Saccharomyces cerevisiae S288C: one gene and its partner. The gene in region 1 interacts genetically with each later gene. Each region holds a gene or a part of one and is shown on either strand. Other genes may lie near its edges. The genes, in order: RCM1 and BIT2.

Region 1 (4,000 bases):
ATAAAGTCTAGAGAATTATCAATGATAACTGATGAGGATAAGTCAATTGTACCTGAAATAACATTTCTCTTTGCCCAGATATCAGAAGTATCATGAACGACTATAATTATAGTGTTAGATTCGGAAATGTTTGGAGTACATAGCACTGTATTATCTGGTAAATCCATGCTTACTAACGGTAAAGTAACGAAATTAAATTCGTCGCTTAAATAGTGTTGCTGTTGTTGACGAATAGCCTTCTGCAGAGGAAAATTTTTAGATATTATCGAGTCGTTAATAGGTTCGTTAAAATTACAACCGGAGTTAGCATGTCTCCTTCTAAAACAGTTCCAATACTTGGACTGTAACCGAATTACTTTGTCTATCATTTCTATGACCTCAGGCTTGGGATCACTTAATGGATCAGGTAGTTCATCAGGAGGCTCCCCTATTAGTACTTTTGCTACACTCAAAGCGCTTCTTGCAATCGCATCCAAGTTATATCCACCTTCCAAAACTACACAAAGATTACCTCTAGCTAGAGATTTTAACATATGTGTCATGTGTCCATAACAACTTGGGGTGACATGACATTGTCCGATAGTATCACCATCCGCGGCATCAAACCCTGAAGAAATAATCACCAAGTCAGGCTTGAATTCTCTCCCCATAGGCATAACTACCTGTTCAAATGCCCACATATATTCTGCATCACCAACACCGCCGACCGGCCAAGTAATATTACAATTGAATCCTTCACCCTTACCCTCACCAGTTTGATCATATTGTCCTTGGATGGTCCCAGGATAGTATTTACCCATTTCAAATCTGTGTAATGACACATATAGCACCTGATCGTCTTGATAGAATGACTTTTGTGTGCCATTACCATGATGAATATCCCAATCTAAAATCATTATCCTTCTTACACTTTCTGGGTAGTTCTTTAAGATATTCTTGGCAGCAACAGCAACATTACTGAAGAGACAAAAACCACCCGCAGCTTGAGGCTCTGCATGATGGCCAGGTGGTCTTACGACAGCTAGAGAGTTTTTTACACGCCCCTCGACAACCGCCTTGCATGCTTCAATGGCGCCACCACAAGGCAGCCTAGCACTCGCGTAAGAATCATTATTGAAATATACGGAATCACCTTTTTCAGTCTCTTTTAATAACTCTTCTCGGCTCATTTTTTCTGTGCTTTCAATAAACTCTAAATGTTCCTTTGTATGAACTTCCAAGATTTCTTCGGAGGTTGCGGCTCTTACAGGTATCTTCAGCATTAAATCACCAAGGTCATCCACGCCGCTTAAAGTGGGGTCGTTAATCAGACCATTCTCTGCTAGTATTTTATAAATACGATATATTCTTCTTGGGTCCTCTGGATGTGGATCAATGTACTCGAAGTACGATGTGAAAATCTTTGCATGATACCTCATTCTAACGTCATAGCAAAGACCAGTTTTCAGCGGTGAATAATGGATTTTTGGCATGCAAACGGGAACAATAACCTGCCTTTTACTTTTAGAAGTAGTAGAGAGGCTATTCTCTTCTTCTTTGTTCTCTTCTAGCTTTCTTTTTAAATCATGGTCTGGATTTTCCAGTACTTCTTTCTTAACCATTACAGAATCCATGCTTAATCTGTTCGGCGTATTACAGTGCTCAACTTTCCCTTTCTCAATATTTTGTTATGTGAATTAGGTCACTAAAAATTAAAACATTTAAGAAAAATAAAAGTTCCTTCCACAGACGAAACACTGTATATGCTTCCTCCCAGCTCTATTTACCTAATTAGTGACCTGATTAAACTTTTGGAAAGAAGCATTTTCCTCGAGATTTCCAAACGGTGCGGGAAAATGGCAAGTGAGGAAAAAAAAAACTGGCCTAAAATATTCGATGAGGTTAAGAGAAGAGCTGGTTCTTCACCAAGTGTTTCACTGAGAAGTTAGCTACGAAAAAGCATGAATTTCTACAGGGATGCAACATGGGTGCTAGAAGATATTGAGAAGGAGGCTGCAAAAGAAAGGATTTCCGGCTCTATGCAGACGCTGGTACTGAAAAGCTGTAAAAGATATAAGCTGAAAAGTAATCCAAAACATATTTATGCAGTTCTCGATTCGTGTTGGAAATATAAACCATATTTGGAGAAAGTGATGAAAAAGGCACACATATTGGAAGATATACCCAAGAAAAAGGGCAAACCACTCTTTTCAAGGCTAACTTTGTTATTGCTTTGCCATGATTTGCTGTTGTCTAAGCAGAAAAGAATTCAAATGGGCAAACACCCCATCAAAGATTATGTTTTGAAGTTTAAGAGCCCATTGCATAGCGAAATGGTCAAATTGAAACTCAAATTGAAAGTAAGAGAGCTATCTGAGTTGGTATTAAGCGAGGATATTTCCAATGACCTTCCTCCTGTTAGATGGATTAGAATCAATCCATTAAAATGCCATCCAAATGGTGAGACTGAGCCGGTGTTAGCCGAATTGAGGAAGAAGTTTACTTTAAAGGTAGACAAATGGTCTGAACTAGTTCCTGGGTCTATCTATTATGATGAGTTTATTCCAAACTTGTTTGGAATTCATCCGTCTGACAAAATTACAGCACATGAGCTTTATAAGCATGGGAAGATTATCATTCAAGATCGTGCTTCTTGTTTTCCAGCCCACATTTTGAATCCAGGACCAAGTGATATTGTGATAGATTCCTGCTCTGCTCCAGGTAATAAGACTACCCATACGGCCTCTTATATATATCCCGAACCACCGAAGGACAATAATACTCGAATATACGCTTTCGAGAAGGATCCTGAAAGAGCAAAAGTTTTACAAAAAATGATCAAGATAGCTGGCTGTTCTCCCAACATCAGTGTCAATGTAGGTGATTTTACAAAGCTCGCTACTCCTGAAAAATATAAGGACGTTACTTGTTTTATTGTAGATCCGAGCTGCTCCGGTAGCGGTATATTTGGTCGTAAGTTTTTTGACTCATTTAATAGAAGGAAAATTGATGATAAAGATGACGATGGTGGCATTGTGCCGGATGAGCAAGAGGAGTTTATAGCAAAGGAAGAACTACAGACAAGGTTAGCGAAGCTGAGTTCATTTCAGTTCCAGATGGTAAAGCATGCAATGAGTTTCCCAGCGGCTAAAAAAATAGTATACAGCACATGTTCCATTCATGCGGAAGAAAATGAACGAGTCGTCATAGACCTTCTTTTAGATAAGTCAGTTAGAGAATGGGGTTGGAAAGTAGCGCCAAAAAGAGAAGTTATTCCTTCTTGGCCTAGAAGAGGCAAGGTAGAAGAGTTCGAAGAGGTTTTTAGAGATGGAGTCACCTATGACCCTCAACAGCTTGCCGAGGGTTGTATCAGGGCACTACCAAAAAGTGACGGTGGTATTGGTTTCTTTGCTGTCTGTTTTGAAAGAGATTAAACTTTCAGAACATTCATGTATATATGTGTATATCTGATATGTATTATTGCATTTTTGCTGTAGTACTACGGAAAAGACATTTCAATAATCTATACATCCCGCACATAAAGGAAGATTTTCGGGTAATATACTATTATAAAAATTATCGATGAGCTCTGTGAAAAGGTCGTAAATATAAAAGTTCTTTCTTGCGACAGTGGCAACAACCAAGTGAAACAGCGTGAGACGAGACTGCTCTAATCTATTTGCAGTCGTAGGCATTACAAATGACCGAACATGAGTCTTTAGGCCTGGAGCAAAATCAAGACGGCGGTGACACTTATAGACATCACAACCTAAGCGATGGGTGTATTTCGAGTGTTGAAGACGCCAACGAGCAGCCTAGTTCGTATGAAGAGGAAAGTGATGATGATATGCAATATTACGAACGTGCGATCCAGGAAATTTCTAGCGGTGACTCATATGTTTGTATGATTTGTACAGTAGAGATGGATTATACGTGCCAAATGTTTGCTTGCAAGAGATGTTATAGAGTGTTTGATTACGGATGCATAAGAGAATGGGCGTTAAAATCAACGGAAAAAACC
Region 2 (3,977 bases), on another chromosome or scaffold:
ACCAGTCTTGGGGTTAACATCACCTTCGAATTCAGGTATGGTCTTGGAAAATTCAGGCGAGAATGACCCAATATCGTTTTTGGTTAAAAGCGGTGAATTCAAACTCTCCTTTGTACGATCGCCGGTGGCCTGCGCATTATACTGATCTATTGCCTCTTGCGATGTGGCAATCCTCTGAAGTCTTTCGAACTCTTCCTGCTCTTCTCTTGGCAGCTTGGGAGGGCCGGGGATCCTTTCAGTAGTTATTTTTCGGGTGGCCATATTAAATGGTCGTCCACGTAGTAGATTTAAGGCTCCCGTGCGAGGATACCGATAACCTGTGCTTTTGATGGCGCACAACATTAGTTCTTCTTTTTATTATTTGGTTCTTTCTGACTCTTTAGCAAGTTAATATGATCTGCACTTTCCCCATTGGCCCCTTTATAGGGCGGAAAAGAGCATCTGTTTTTCCGGATTCTTGGAACAAGAAAAAGGAAATACACCTATCTATATGCCACTATTGTATATTACTAAATAAAATATTTAATTATATACTCATGCGTATGCCCTCAAGAAGTTCACCAATAATTCTTTGGTTTCTGCTGTTACCTTTTATGGTATTCAGGATCCCAAAACACTGCAGCAGCGTCAGTTTATCTTCCTCTGTGACGCCGTTCTGTTCTTCCTCGCTGAAAATATATCTTTGAAAACTCTTACTGGCACCGTCATTTGTATGTAGGAAGCTTTCGTAATACGGAAGAATGATGGAGTCTCTAAAACACTTTAATAAAAGGACATCAATTGACGGTGCGTACCTTGAAGGTTCAGATAGATATCCGTCAAGCCAGTAGTTACTATTTTTTTGGAAGCTTTTCTCGAAGGGCAGTAACACTGCCATCATGTCGTAGTAAACCTGTTGGTAAAACACCTTCCAGATTATGCCGACTCTTTTCAAAGCCGTATTTACGGTATCCTCATTGGCATAATTGAACACAATCTGGTTCTCTAAAATGTAAAGTGAAGTGGTAATGAATTCCTCGATTTCGGCCAAAAACCTTGAGTGCGTTACGGCAGCCTTGGTTTGTGTTTTCAAAGTGATATAAAATTCCAGCAGCCGGTCAATATCTTCTATTTTTGCTGGCAATTGCCATACCCTCTTGTTTTTAAATAGCTCCACAACTATGCTGCAGTATATACCCCAGATATTCCCCTCCAGAACAAATAACTCCTGTACGGTGAAGCTTTTATAGTTTGCTATCAAGGATGGCAAGTTTTTCAGTAAATCATGTAGTAAAGAAACATTAGTCGCGTCGAAAGCATCATCTTGGATCAGCGATAGAGCTGTATCATTAGGGTTGTTGTTAATGCTAGGGTTAAAGGAATATACAGATTTTCCAGAGTCAATAAGGCCTCCAGTAGAAGTATGGATAAACTGTACGGGTGACCTATGTTTACCATATGAAGAATGCAGAAATTTACTGAATGGGCTGGGAACTACGGGTTCAACGTCGTCTTTACCAATGGAATTATGCGGCTTGTAGGGTAAAAGCTTTTTTGCCATTTTGCTAAAGACATTACTGCCTTTGTTTGAATGAGAATGTCCTGTAGACAGTGAAGATTGTAAACTGTTCACACTCATATTAGATTTCGTATGAAACAATTTAGAGCCACTCCTACTTATGTTGTTACTACTTGTGCCGGTAATAACAGTGCCGTAGTTTTTTGACCCGCTCCTGCTTCGATTTCTCATATTATCTTTTGAATTGGTGAAGATGGACAGTCGCCTTTTATTGCCCCTTGAGTTGGAAGAAAATAAACTATCATTAGACGTGGTGTTCCCCTCCATTCGGTTACTACTTGATGAACCTATTTCGGAGTGACCATCGTTATTCTCCGTGCCTTGGCTGTACTCCTCTTCAATCGAATCCGTCGAGCGCCTTGCATTGGAACCATCATGGAATATAGATTGAAACCCCACCTGTGACCATCTAGGAGCGGCATCATGAGGAGATTTGGATGTTTTTAGATGCACATCTTCGTCGGGATGTGTCAGCGCTTGCGGTACTATATCAGAAGAAACACTATAAACTCTAGCTGGTTTGCGATTAGTTGCTTTTATGTTCGGGTTCGTGACGCTCAGTGAGCCTGAGGTAGCACTTCTTTTACGATTTAGGTCTGTTGCCATTGCTTGACTCTGTAGTTTAAGACTCGCCTAGCCACTTATGCTTATTGTGGTTTGTATTTTTTATTTACTGTCTTCTATCTTTCTCCCTTTAATTTTGACCTTATTTTAAAGCCCGCAAAGATCGCTGAAAAATTGCTAGTAAAGGTCGCATGCAAAATGGATAAAGTGCTCTTGTCAAATTATTTCAACACCTTCATTCGCAGTATAGTGGTATATTGGATTGGGTAAAGGAAAACAGGCGACACCAATATTGGTTTAAGCTAGTAGCGTATGCAGCTCTATCCAGGCATTAAAATTGGTTCACCTATTTCTGATAGTAGTTTTTTTTTTTCCAATCGTAAATTTTTTCTTCAATTTCGCGATGAGCTACAAAATAATAGTAGTGCAATCTGTATATTACTTTTCAAGTATCTAACTCATGCAAGTTAGGAGTTCCATAGCGGATATTTCACTATGTTTGATCCTCTCGATTTGTACACCCCTGATGACATCCAGGTTGAGGCTTTACAGTTCAATCTAGCAGAGAGAGAGCCAAAAGATCCTTGCTCACCGCAACGTGACGAAATATTAACGGCTGTAGATGAAGAAGAGAGTGACGACGATGACACCATTATCGATAATCTGGATCTGCCCTCCGTGAAGTATGCTCCGCCAGAAGTTATCCTTTGTATACTAATACTTCTGAAGCCCGATAGACAAGTAAACTTCAATCAGGAGACAGGGAAGAACAAATCTGTACTGGAGGTTTGCAAGAGTCATGGGCTGGAACCCGATCTGCTGAAAAGACTTTTGACTTGGTATACAGAAGAATGGCCTAACAAGAGGTTAAACTCGTTGGAAAAGATATGCAATAAAATCCCAATGCTGAGATTTACAGTATCCAAAGAACTACTGTTGGGCTACTATACTAGTGTATTGAAAAAATACAATAATAGTTGCGGATTGAATGAGGAAATCATACAAGAACTTCTTAAGGAATTGAGCTCAAGGATATCCGAAAACTGTGGGAGAACGGCCCAACCATCCATAGTAAGATATTTTGAATTAAGAAATCTAAGCACTTCCATACCGCTTCATGAACCCTCTTTAACGGCCGATAATCTTGGTTGGAAAACATGGGGATCATCTTTAATACTTTCACAATTAGTCGTAGATCACCTGGATTACCTACATACCACTAATGTGAACATGTTAGCGAACAGCGACATCAAACAGATTAAAGTATTAGAATTAGGAGCGGGCACTGGTTTAGTAGGACTTTCATGGGCCTTAAAATGGAAAGAACTTTATGGAACTGAAAATATAGAAATCTTCGTGACGGATTTACCCGAGATTGTGACGAATTTGAAGAAAAATGTGTCATTAAATAATTTAGGAGATTTCGTTCAAGCAGAGATATTAGATTGGACTAATCCTCACGATTTTATAGATAAATTTGGACATGAAAATGAATTTGACGTCATATTGATCGCCGACCCGATATATTCGCCTCAGCATCCGGAATGGGTAGTTAACATGATATCGAAGTTTTTGGCGGCATCAGGGACCTGTCACCTAGAAATACCTTTAAGGGCAAAATACGCCAAAGAACGAGAGGTTTTGAAATTATTACTAAAAGAGAGTGATTTAAAAGTAGTTGAAGAACGGCATTCAGAGGGTGTGGATGATTGGGGTGCCGTTAAGTATTTATATAGGCAAATCGTTCGCAATTAGTGGGAAAGAAACGAACGCGCTTAGGCGAATAGTTTTTCTTTATAATAAAAATCATGCATGCTACATAGACATTGAAATGTGAATTATAAGTACTTGCCAG

The links.
Region 2: mutations in RCM1 (region 1) and BIT2 together harm fitness more than expected from each alone (negative genetic interaction), as found in Saccharomyces cerevisiae (2 studies listed by BioGRID).

What each region holds. Positions count from the first base shown.
Region 1 is NC_001146.8:590,840-594,839, reverse strand, and holds RCM1 (rRNA (cytosine-C5-)-methyltransferase RCM1), read left to right. Parts: upstream 1-1,940; coding exon 1,941-3,413; downstream 3,414-4,000. Other genes in the region: histone deacetylase HDA1, read right to left, coding at 1-1,613; FAP1 (Fap1p), read left to right, coding at 3,680-4,000.
Region 2 is NC_001134.8:742,235-746,211, forward strand, and holds BIT2 (Bit2p), read right to left. Parts: upstream 2,165-3,977; coding exon 527-2,164; downstream 1-526. Other genes in the region: SDH8 (Sdh8p), read right to left, coding at 1-342; EFM2 (S-adenosylmethionine-dependent methyltransferase), read left to right, coding at 2,618-3,877.